Linked DNA regions of Canis lupus familiaris. The protein of the gene in region 1 interacts with the protein of each later gene in a pairwise test. Links are inferred from orthologs where the notes say so. Each region holds a gene or a part of one and is shown in the gene's direction. Other genes may lie near its edges.

Region 1 (5,686 bases):
CTCTCTCTAATGAATAAATAAAATCTTTAAAAAAAATTAGAAGGAAGAGTGGTTACTATGGGACGTCAGAGTTGTGGGCAGGGGCCAAATAATGTAGGCTTTTGTAGAAAACTATTAGAATACTTAAATAGGAGAGTGGCATAATCTGATAATGTACAGTATATCTGGGGTTTTGTGCTTCAATATGGCAGACTAACCATGTACATTTATATTCCCTGCCTCTCAAAATCTACTAAAATGACTTAGAAGAATAAAAATAATAAAAGTAAATGCTAATGAGATTTTAGCAACATTTAAAAGCTAGAAAAAGGACAGATGAGTAGTAACTAACTTGGCTAAGAAGTCAACAAAAACTAATCAGTTTAAACAAAAGAATTCTGGAAATGTTCACAAATTAAAGACTAGATACTCCTGAAAAACATACTAAAACTGGGCCTGAAGAGAGGAATAGTCTGCTGAAAAGTCTGAATAAGGAGCAGTTAGAACCCCACTTCCGGATTTCCTCCATAACCAGGGTGCCAAGTTACCTTTCCTTTTAAGACAGAAGGCTACAGGTTTGATTTCATGAAGAAACTGAATCAGAAAGACTATAAAGTCAGAAATGCACAGCTAAGAGGGGTGTCAAGGTGTTAGACTATAAGTGGGTAATAGTGAAAGCTAAATACTGAATTATGAGGCCATTTTAACCCCCATCACATTCTGATGTCTGATATGTGCCCTCCAGACAGGAAATTAAAAGATTCTTCTCCAGGGAAAATCATTGGTCTGAGAGAAAAGATCTACAGATAAAGGCTTTTAGATAGTTCTCCAATGAAACAGCCAAAGTCTCATGTTATTACTCTGTAGGGAGGCCAATAATGGGCAAGTAAACCCTCGTCTGATAACCAAGTTTACAGTAGTTTTCTTTAGTGTCTCACTCTTAAATATGAATAGATGCTCAACGATCACCAAGCATTAGTGTATGGTGGTGGCAGGAAAGATGAAACCCAATACGATCATAAAGGAGAAGAACTGGGCAGCCCGGGTGGCTCAGCGGCTTAGCGCTGCCTTTGGCCAGGGCCTGATCCTGGAGCCTCGGGATCGAGTCCCACGTCGGGTTCCCTGCATGGAGCCTGCTTCTCCCTCTGCCTGTGTCTCCGCCTCTCTCTCTCTCTCTCTCATGAATAAATAAATAAAATCTTTAAAAAGAAAAGAAAAAACTGTGAAGAATCAGAGACAATGAATGAAAAAGAAAAAAGTACTTTAAGGAAACCACAATTAATATCTTCAGAGAGACAAAAAAAAAGATATTTAATTCCTGATTCAAAAATAGGAAATAGCTCTTGGGATTAAAAATACAATAGCAGAATTTAATAATACAATAGCAGAATCTATCTACCTCTCAATCTATCTATCTCAACCTACCTCTATCTATCTATCTATCGTCTATCTATCTATCTATCTATTTATCTATCTATCTATCTCTATTTCAATCCAGAGCTGGAAGATAAGCCAAGAAATTTTTCAGCAAACAGAACAAGATAGAAAACAGGATCTTCATAGGGGCAGAAATGATGTGTTCTTTATCTTCTATATTCCGTGCCCAGCATCGCATCTGGAAAAGTCTCTTTCAATGCTGTTGAACCCCAGGCTGGATTACAAAGTTTCTGTGTCACACTAATTTAGAATTCCTTATTTGCAACTATTCATCCGTCAGGGACTTTTTGCCAGAATTCACAGATGTCATAGAATCCGAAGTTTAAACGGCAAAATTGAAACCCGTGAACGAGCAGGACGCACAGGAAGCGGTTAATGCAGCTGAAGCCGCCGAGCCTCCCCGGTGGAGCCCCACGAGGTTGCATTTTCCGTCGTGCACCCCCAGCGCGGCTCTACTATTCGGTGACAGCGCCCGGCGCCGCTTAGGCTCCCCATCCACACCACCTTGAAGGATGAATGACTGAATCTGCAAACGCAACCCACGCTTGAGTGTGAATGGAGGGGAGCTCGCGCGGAGGACGAGGTCGGGAGGACACGCGGCTGCCACCGCGCGCGCTCCCGGCTGACACCCGGGAGGCGGGGCGGGGGGCGGGGCAGATGCGGGCCACGCCCCTTGAGGGGTGGAGCTAGGCCGCTCGCTTGCGTGCAAGGGCTTCTGGGAGCCGAGCCTCGGGGTCTCGGGGAAGGGGCGCCGGGAGCCGCCATCTTGAGCTGCCGGCTTGGTCGCTGCGCTCGACGCTGGGGGCGGAGTGGCGGCCCCGCGGTTACCTGCAGCGGACGCCGCCGCCGGGAACTGGGCAGTTAAGACGCCGGCTAGAGTGCCACGTTAATGGGTAAGTCGGGGGCGGGCAGGCCAGGTTGGGTGAGAACCCCGGGCCAGGTCCCTTTGGGAGTTACAGGGTCCAGGGGCCACCGTTACTTGCCCCTTTGCTGGCGGAGGCTCGAGGACAGGCCGTGCTGCCGGGTATCGGGGTTCCGCCCCGCCCCCCGGTGTACCGCGGGGAGACCGCGGGGGCGTGGCCGCCGGACCCGGTGTTCGCTGCCGCGAAGGTGCGGGAACGCAGAGCCTCGCAGGCGGGAGGAGCCCTGCGGGCCGAGCCGGTGCCGCCGCCCCGGGCCTGGGCCCCGATTCTCGGTACGAGGGCTGGTCGGACGTCGCTCGCTCCCGGGACGCGGCGTCTGCGTGGCTCAGGCAGCGCGTTACGAGTTCCCCGGGGCCCGGAATCCGGCCCGGGTGGTGGCCCCGGGGGCCTACTTGCCGCACGGTCGCGGCGCGCCAGGTGCAGGTGCAGGTGCCCCGGGGCGGGGGGGGGGGGGGGGGGCTCCTGTCCACGCCGGCAAGGGTGGGTGGGTTACATGCTTCTCTCTGATGGCCTGTCATCTGCCTCCCCTCCCAAGATGGAAATTTAATAGGTGTTTTCCTCGGCGGTGCCTAGGAGATGAAGGATCCGAAAGCTATGAAACGGTATAGTGATGCTTCAAAAGACTAGGACATCGGCATTTACACTTAGGCTTTTAAAACATTTTTTTTTTTTTTTCTCCCCAAGAGAACGGACCTCTGACCTGGTGTCTCTTAATTACAACGCTCGGTGATTCTTATTCTGTAGGGAAGCGACTTTTCTTGGTAAACAAGGTTCAGCTGTGTCTCGTCTTCGCTGCCTGTTCGGTTGTCGGGGCTCTAGTCGGCAGGCAGGCTCCCCGTCTTGTGCCGATGTTAAATATTTTTTTTTTTTTTTTTTTTTTTTTTTTTGCTGCTAGGCACCCAAACCCGTAGGAATGGAGGCTTTTTTTTAGGGGCATGAGAAATTCGGTTGATAAATAGAAGAAGTTCAAATTCCAGTTACTTTCCCAGCCTCAAGCCAGTATTTTCAAAGAGCTAAGTGAAGGAAAAAAATAAGCTTATGACTGAAAATAAAAGGAAATCCTTTGTGCAACCTCGAAGTATGTGAATGTCATTTTTTCTTTTTGAAATCAGTTGTATGAGGGGCACCTGGGTGGCTCAGTGGTTGAGCGCCTTGGGCTCAGGGCGTGATCCAGGGGTCCTTGGGATCCAGCCCCCCACCCCCATCGGGCTCCCTGCAGGGAGCCTGCTTCTCCCTCTCTGTGTCTCTCATGAATAAATAAAATCTTTTTAAAAAATAATTTGTATGAGATAGCAAAGATAGAAAAGGGAACAATCCTGTTGGGCCAGGCACCTTTAAGAGATGACTTTTCTTGGACTTGTCCGGTTTAAAGCAACTGCAGTGAGGATGCAGGTGTTCAGTAAGAAGTTAGTACTATATCCGAAAAGGAAACCAATGATTCATGAGTTGTTGGGAGTAGATTTTATTTGGTTGACATATTTATATTCAAGGTTTTATTTTTTTTATAAATTTATTTTTTATTGGTGTTCAATTTGCCAACATACAGAATAACATCCAGTGCTCATCCCATCAAGTGCCCCCCTCAGTGCTGGTCACCCAGTCACCACCACCTCCCCCCCCACCTCACCTCCCCTTCCACCACCCCTCGTTCGTTTCCCAGAGTTAGGAGTCTCTCATGTTCTGTCTCCCTCTCTGATATTTCCCACTCTTTTTTTCTCCTTTCCTCTTTATTCCCTTTCACTATTTTTTATATTCCCCAAATGTATATTCATGGTTTTAATTGTGGTCACCTAGAATAATGGTCTTAGAAGTACTAGTGTTGAGTGTGTAGGTTGGGGAGGCACAAGGTGATTGAATCAAATGTGGGGAGAAGATATTAGAAATTGTTTCTTTACCTTTTAAAACTATTCCCTTTTTAAAAAAACTTTTGTTAATTTTATAATGGGATGGAATTTTAGCCTAGAAATACTTGTATATAAATAAATGTGGGGATGAATGCACTAATATATTTTGCATACATGAGGATATGTGATCAAAAACAATTAGAGGGGATCCCTGGGTGGCGCAGCGGTTTGGCGCCTGCCTTTGGCCCAGGGCGCGATCCTGGAGACCCGGGATCGAATCCCACGTCGGGCTCCCGGTGCATGGAGCCTGCTTCTCCCTCTCCCTCTGCCTGTGTCTCTGCCTCTCTCTCTCTCTGTGTGACTGTCATAAATAAAAAAAAAAATTAAAAAAAAAATTAGAGGCCAGTGACCTGGAAAAGCCTAATGTTGTAGGTGATAAATACTAAGATGCTTATTGCTGTGAACATTTCATTTTGCTAAAATGTTTTATACTTATTGAGCGTAATGCAACAAGTAATGTTGAAGCCCAGTTTGCTCTGCAGTGAACTTATCTCTGTTTTTCTCTTCCCAGAGCCTAAACTCTTATTAATAAAACAATTTTTATATATGAAATGCTTAGAGAATAATGCTGAACATTGTTATTATTAATAAAGTTAGATTGAGCTGTTTCTAATGATAAGTATTTGTAGGTCCACAGTATTGTTGCAATCCATTCATTAAATCCTTTGAAAGAAGGATTTTCGTCAATTATAAATGCACTTTAATTGCTAGAATATACATGTGATAGGTTCAAAGACAGAGAGTACCTCTTAAATCATTCTGAAGTGCTCAGCCTATTCCATTCTACTTTTAGCTCCACCTATAATGAAATTTTTCTGTCTTTACCAGTGACCTAATTATCACATCTTTTGCCTCATGTGGTATTTAGCTTATTGTTGGAACTTGTATTCGTTCAATGAATCAATGAATGAATAAATTGAGTGACTTATTTTTAGTGCTACTACAAATGAAATACTCCTTTGTCTTTTGAATTCCCTTCTCTTTCAGGACTCTTACTTCTGATTATCTTATTCCTCTGACCTATTTCTTTTGGTTTCCTTTGCTCTTTCCTTTTCCCAATCGAAGGTAAACGTTCTCAAGATTTCTCCCTTGGCCATCTCTCTTTTATAGCTCTGCATGATCTTGGGTGATCAGTTTGGACTCTTCATCAGTTTTGACCCTATTTTTTAACCATCTATAGGTCTTAATCTCCTGTATGTGCCCTAAGTATTAATAAGTATATAATTATAACATCTTTAAAATGAAAATTACTATACATCTAGTAGAATGGCTACAATTAACAACAAAATTCTGACAATACCAAGTGTAGACAGAACACAGAGCAACAGGAAGTCTTATACATTGCTGGTGGAAATGCAGAATGGTACAATACTCTGCAATTTCTTATAAAAAATGAAGCATACACTTGCCATATTATCTATCAATCCTACTTCTAAATATTTA
Region 2 (5,656 bases), on another chromosome or scaffold:
AGGAAGTGAACCACTGATCAAGTAATAGAGTTGCTATGTTGTAGGGAGTAGGAGTGGAAAGAAGAGATTGATGGCCAGTTGATGGAATACATACGTAGTAGGCATGAGACTTCTCAGTAAGTCAGACAGGGATGCCAGGCTGGGCAGGAGATCTATTTATTTTAGGAATTATGAGGGAGTTCATAATGGTACTTAATGGAGTTACGTGAACCTGGGACACAGTAAACACTAAATTTCATAGAATCTCATAGCTGGAAGAAATCTTTAATGTCATCTGGTCACATTTCCCAAGAGATGCCTGAAAGCCCTCTGCAGGCTCAATTTTCTAGAACATGTATCTGATTTTAAGCATTTTGTTAAAGAAACCCAGCCTATGCTTTTTAAGTAACCCCCATTTATTATAGATCTCATTATTACTTCATGGCCCTGGGTAAGTCATTGCATTTTTTTAAAAGATTTTATTTATTTATTCATGAGAGACACACACACACACAGAGACAGAGACACAGGCAGAGGGAGAAGCAGGCTCCATGAAGGAAGCCCCATGTGGACTCCATCTTGCCCTGAGCCGAAGGCAATGCTCAACTACTGAGCCACCAAGGCGTCCCAACTCATTTCATTTTTATGGGTCTTTGCTCAAAATTGTGACCTCTCTGGCTATTCATTTCCACATCTATAAATGACAACCCCAGATCTCTCCTGCTTGGCCCTCAAGGTGGAGAACAGACTAAAGAAGATGATACAAGTGGGAATGTCTTGGTAACCGTGAGGTATGGTGCACTTTTAAAAACATAGCAAGTGTTGCTGCAACCTCCCACATTTCCTTCACCAGTGAGTGACATCCCCCATACAGTACAAGAGTAGCAGTGTTCCATCCCTCTCCATTCTACAAAGAGGCTTTTCACCCTTGCCCCTAATTCTCTTTATAGAGTTACCCACAGGTGGGTCCCTACAAGAGCCTTCGTTAGGGGATCCTGTGCTTTTTCAGGAGAAGTGAGGAATGGGCTTGTGTAGGTCACAGTGCCTGGCCTGTCCCTGGGGTGGGGGCGGGGGCAGGGGAGGGCCAGTGTGTGGGAGGGTTTCAGCAGTCTTCTTGCTCCTTCCCACATTCTTGGACTAGCAGGGCTGCCCATCCAGGGGTGCCTCTAAGGAACCCAGCAGTAGCAACCCTCACAGAGGATCCACATAGTCCTCAACTCTCAGTCCCCGTGGAGCCTCATAATGGTATAGACTGTTGTTCACTTGAACAGGCATTTAGTAAATGTTTGTGATGTGTCAGGTCCTATGCTTGCCACTGGGGATAAGAGATGAGTCAGACATGCTGCCTTCCCCTGAGACCTCACAGTTTAGCAGGAGAAACAGACTCATGAGTGTCATACACAGCATGTGTTCTGACCAAAGCCGGAACAGTGGGCATAGCTGATGGATCACTTAAGTCTGTCTGAGGGCCCTGGGTAGACTTCTCAGAGGAGATGAGATTTAAATGGAATCTTAACAGGGGTGTAGAAATTCCGCAAGGGGCAAGAGCGGGGGCATTTCCGACAGGAGGAGCTGCAAGTAGAGAGGTACAGAGCTGCAGGAGGACACCGTGGTTCTGGGCTGGAGTGTGCGCTACATGTCAGAGAGCAGAAAGACTTGAACCGGAAGGGTAGAGACCCCTAAGTGGCTCAGTGGTTGAGCGTCTGCCTTTGGCTCAGGTTGTGATTCCGAGGTCCTAGGACTGAGTCCCGCATCAGGTTCACTGCAGGGAGCCTGCTTCTCCCTCTGCCTATGTCTCTGTCTCTGTCTGTGTCTCTCATGAATAAATAAATAAAATATTAGAAACAACAACAAAGAGAAACCAGAAGGGTAGTGGGGCCCTGAGCAGCAGGCCTTTATGATGTCATGGGAGCCACTGAAGGATTTCAGGGAGGAGAGTGTCATGGTCAGGTAAGGTTCGTAAGAACATTTAGGTGGTGGGGTGGGGGCTGGGTGAGAAAGGAGAGAGAAGATAAATTAACTGAGAATATTGAGGGAAGGGACAGATCCTAGGGAGATTTTAGGAGGCAGAATTGATAGACCTTATTATGAGAAAGTCTAAGAGCTTCTGGCACAGGAAATTAAAAGAGAAAGAAGGCAGAATGGAAATTTAGTGAGGGCCTACAGGTACGATGACAAGATATCTTGCATCAATTTGACTTCAACTTCTTGACTGCCTAGCCAAGATGGCCTACATAATGTTTGTGGACAGGAGGTCAAAAGCTTTTTTGCAAATGGTTTTTCATAGCTGCAGAGGTGGATTCAGCAGATCTGGCTGACTGGGCCAGTATTCTTCCCTCCCTCTCTCCTGCTCCACGTGTCTTAGTCCCAAAACTAATTGCTTTGTCAAGGAGAATGCCTTCCCCAAACAGAAAAAAAGCCACATTTTGGTTAAGGATTGGGCAAATGCCCATGCTAGGATCTCCATGCCAAGTCCCATCTAGATCTATGCATTATCACCAAGAACTGCATAGCTCAGAATGTTCTGCTGCCCAGGGCATACAGTTACAGACCAAGCATGGGGCAAATTCCCAGAAGAATTGATATTTGAGCTGGGTCTTGAAGGAAAGCAAAGGAAAAACAAATGCACTAAAATGATATCTTACCTGGTTTGGCACCTAGAGTGCTCTAGAGATGAGCTGTCCAATAGAACTTTCTGCAATGATGAAAATGGTCTTCTGTACCAACCAATATGGTAGCCACTAGCCACATGTGGCTATCAAACACTTGAAATATGACCAATGCAACTGAGGAACTGAATTTTTAATTTAATTTTTATTACTTTAAATGTAAATTGTCACCTATAGCTAGTGGCTACCGTATTGAACAACACAGCTCTGGAGTGCATTTAGCATGTCCAGATTCTGTTTTACGTGTCCATTCTTTGCTTCACTCTCCTTGTGATCCTCCCCTGTCCCTGTTCTCTCTGCCTAGTCCTTCCAGTTTGATGTACTAACTGGCTATCTCCCAGCTTCCAACACTGGTTCTATTTCCTGGTTATTGATTTCCTCTCTATCTCATCACAACAGAACCCTAGACTATCTTCCATTTTGCTCATGCCTTAGTACCTCCTCAATTTGTCCCGGTGTGTGGACCTAGCTCAAGAAGGATTCAGAGAATCCTGTCCTGTCACATCAGGCTATTCAACAGTCCTTATTCACTCCTTTTCCTTGGTTTCTTTTCCAGGTCACTTTACTTGGCCAGTTAGTGACATGGATTATTTGATGTTTTCCCTCCTTAACAACTTGAGTTAGAGGATTAGACAGTTGAAAGAAAAGAAGAGTACGGAGGAAGGGTTATAACAGGTTGAGTGAATACTTTGAAGTCTCTGATAGCAGGTGAAGGGCTCCATCCTGAGGCCTTTTCTGTCAGTTGCTTTTAATCCTGATATGTGTAAAGATAGCAGTATTGGTAGGTTGATTACATTTTGGACGAAAAGGATAGATTCAGGATAGATTTAAAAAAAAAGGCTCTTGATAGGCCAAAGCATTGGGTCAAATTTAACATGACAAAATGCGATGATAACAAATCCGTGATCCTGTATTTGGATCTAAATGGCTAATTGCCTGTGTACCAATACATGGTTTAGAAAGTTTGGTGGTTTTTGCTGATGATCAATCAGTGGTAGATAACAAGAAAGGTAATATGCTCCAGGAAAGCACTGTAGAATCACATCCAAGAGAGATCTGTGCATTTCCACACCAATCCAACTACACCTGGATCACTGTTTCAGGTTCTGAATGTCTCATTTAGAAAAAAAAAAAAAAAAAAGTGGGGGCAACACTAGCCACAGTGGGAAAAGGACTGGTAACCCATGATATAAGAACTGGGTCCCTGAGCCTTGAGAGAACAGACCATAGGGACAAGGTCACCATCCTTAGTCTCTGCAGGGAAGTTACAGAACAGAAAGCAGATATGCTCTTTGGGCTTCAAAGGGCAGAGCAAAAACAAAAACAAAAACAAAAACAAAAACAAAAACAAAAAACCAACCACTGAAGAGTGAAAATTCAAGCAGACTTCAGCTCAGTGTGAGGAAAATGATTCCAACTGAACGGTGATTTCTGGTGTTTTAACCTGCAGAGGCAGAGTTTGGTAGCGCCCCTGGAGGAACAATGTTAAACATGCCCCAAAGCCAGACTGCTCAAATATTGATTGTCTCTATAGTGATGGATGGCTCATTCAAATGTGTAGGCCCTATACTCGCTGACCCCATTTAGCTTTGCAGGTTCTATATTAAGTGTCAGACTCTTCTCATTCTAGCTCAGCATTCTAATTAAGTAACCTTGGCTCCTTGCATGTGGAAAACAGGTTTTAGGCACAGAACCTCTAGCACCAAGCAGAATGGCAACATAATTTTAGCTCCTGAGCAAAATGGGTCTCACAATAGCGTCAGTGCAGTGTGCACATTAACATTTGAATATGCTGTATAATAAGCATGCTAATTACTCTGAGAAGAATACTTGAAGAAAAAATAAGCTGTTATCATTAGAGGAGAAAGGGGCTAGCAATTTATAGCATGGCTGCTGCTTGATATTCAAAAATACATGACGGCTCTTGTCACAGGTAAAAGGTAATTACTATGATTATAAACTGCAATGAGAGTGGCAGGAAGTGATCAGAATTTTATTGGAAGTAAGTATGTGGTATAATTGTTTGTTTGTTACCACATTCAGATTTATTACTAATAAATATGTGTCCCCATTTGGTTGTTTGATTACTTTGAGCAGTTTAGGTATGAACCTATTATACTATATTACTCACCTCAACTGCAGAAAATTACTGGAAGAATTTACAAAAGAGGTGAGGAGCTGGGAGGGGGAGGTCTCAGGTTTGACATGGGGCACAACCACCTTGTGCTAGAAGAGAAGCTGTAATGGGGACCTCTAACTCCACGCCTTGGATGACCTAGATGGTCATTTCTCAATCCTGTTCTGCAGATCTCTCAGCGATCCTGCTACTCTTTCAGGGGGTCCACAAGGCCAAATTATTTGTATAATAATATTAAGATGATATTTGTCTTATCATGGTATGGAACTACTACATACTATATGATTCAACTTATATGAAATGTCCCATACAGGCAAATCTGTAGAGACAGAACACAGATAAGCGTTGCTAGGGATCAGGGGAGGTCAGAAGGGAGAGCCTAATGGGTACAGGGTTTCTTTTTGGGGTAAGGAAAATGTTCTGGAACTAGGTAGTGGTAGTGGTTATGAATGTCCTAAATGTCACTGAATTGTACACTTTCAAAGAGTTAAGATGAACTTTATGTTATGTGAATTTTACCATAATTTTTAAAGGCAAAAAAGAGAGTGAAGTTTACACATTGTACCATATAAGAGAAATTCTTCCTACCTAGAATTTTGAAGCTTGAGGGTTTTCTAGTTCTGAAAGCTTTCCTCTTTGCAAGGCCTTTCAATAGCTACAGTTCTTTTTTTTTTTTTTTTTTAAGATTTATTTATTTGAGTGGGGGGAGGGGCAGAGAGCGGGGGAGAAAGAATCTTAAGCAGACTCCCTGCTAAGAACAGAGCCTGCATACCCAGGGTTCCATCTTATGACCCATTAGATCAGTTCTCATGACCCATGAAATCATGACCTGAGCCAAAATTAAGAGTCGGACGCTTAAATTTCTGAGCCA

The links.
Region 2: the proteins of KPNA5 (region 1) and ANP32B interact in binary tests that used the Homo sapiens proteins (3 or more experiments, as listed by UniProt). The two-hybrid records come from large-scale screens. The link is inferred for Canis lupus familiaris from reciprocal best matches to the Homo sapiens genes KPNA5 and ANP32B.

Annotation. Positions count from the first base shown.
Region 1 is NC_049222.1:57,663,194-57,668,879, forward strand, and holds the start of KPNA5 (importin subunit alpha-6), read left to right. Parts: upstream 1-2,118; 5' UTR 2,119-2,305; coding exon 2,306-2,309; intron 2,310-2,917; exon of another isoform or gene 2,918-2,941; intron 2,942-5,686. UniProt on the Homo sapiens protein: Functions in nuclear protein import as an adapter protein for nuclear receptor KPNB1. Binds specifically and directly to substrates containing either a simple or bipartite NLS motif.
Region 2 is NC_049232.1:55,563,433-55,569,088, forward strand, and holds the start of ANP32B (acidic leucine-rich nuclear phosphoprotein 32 family member B), read left to right. Parts: upstream 1-1,869; 5' UTR 1,870-1,884; coding exon 1,885-1,929; intron 1,930-5,656. UniProt on the Homo sapiens protein: Multifunctional protein that is involved in the regulation of many processes including cell proliferation, apoptosis, cell cycle progression or transcription.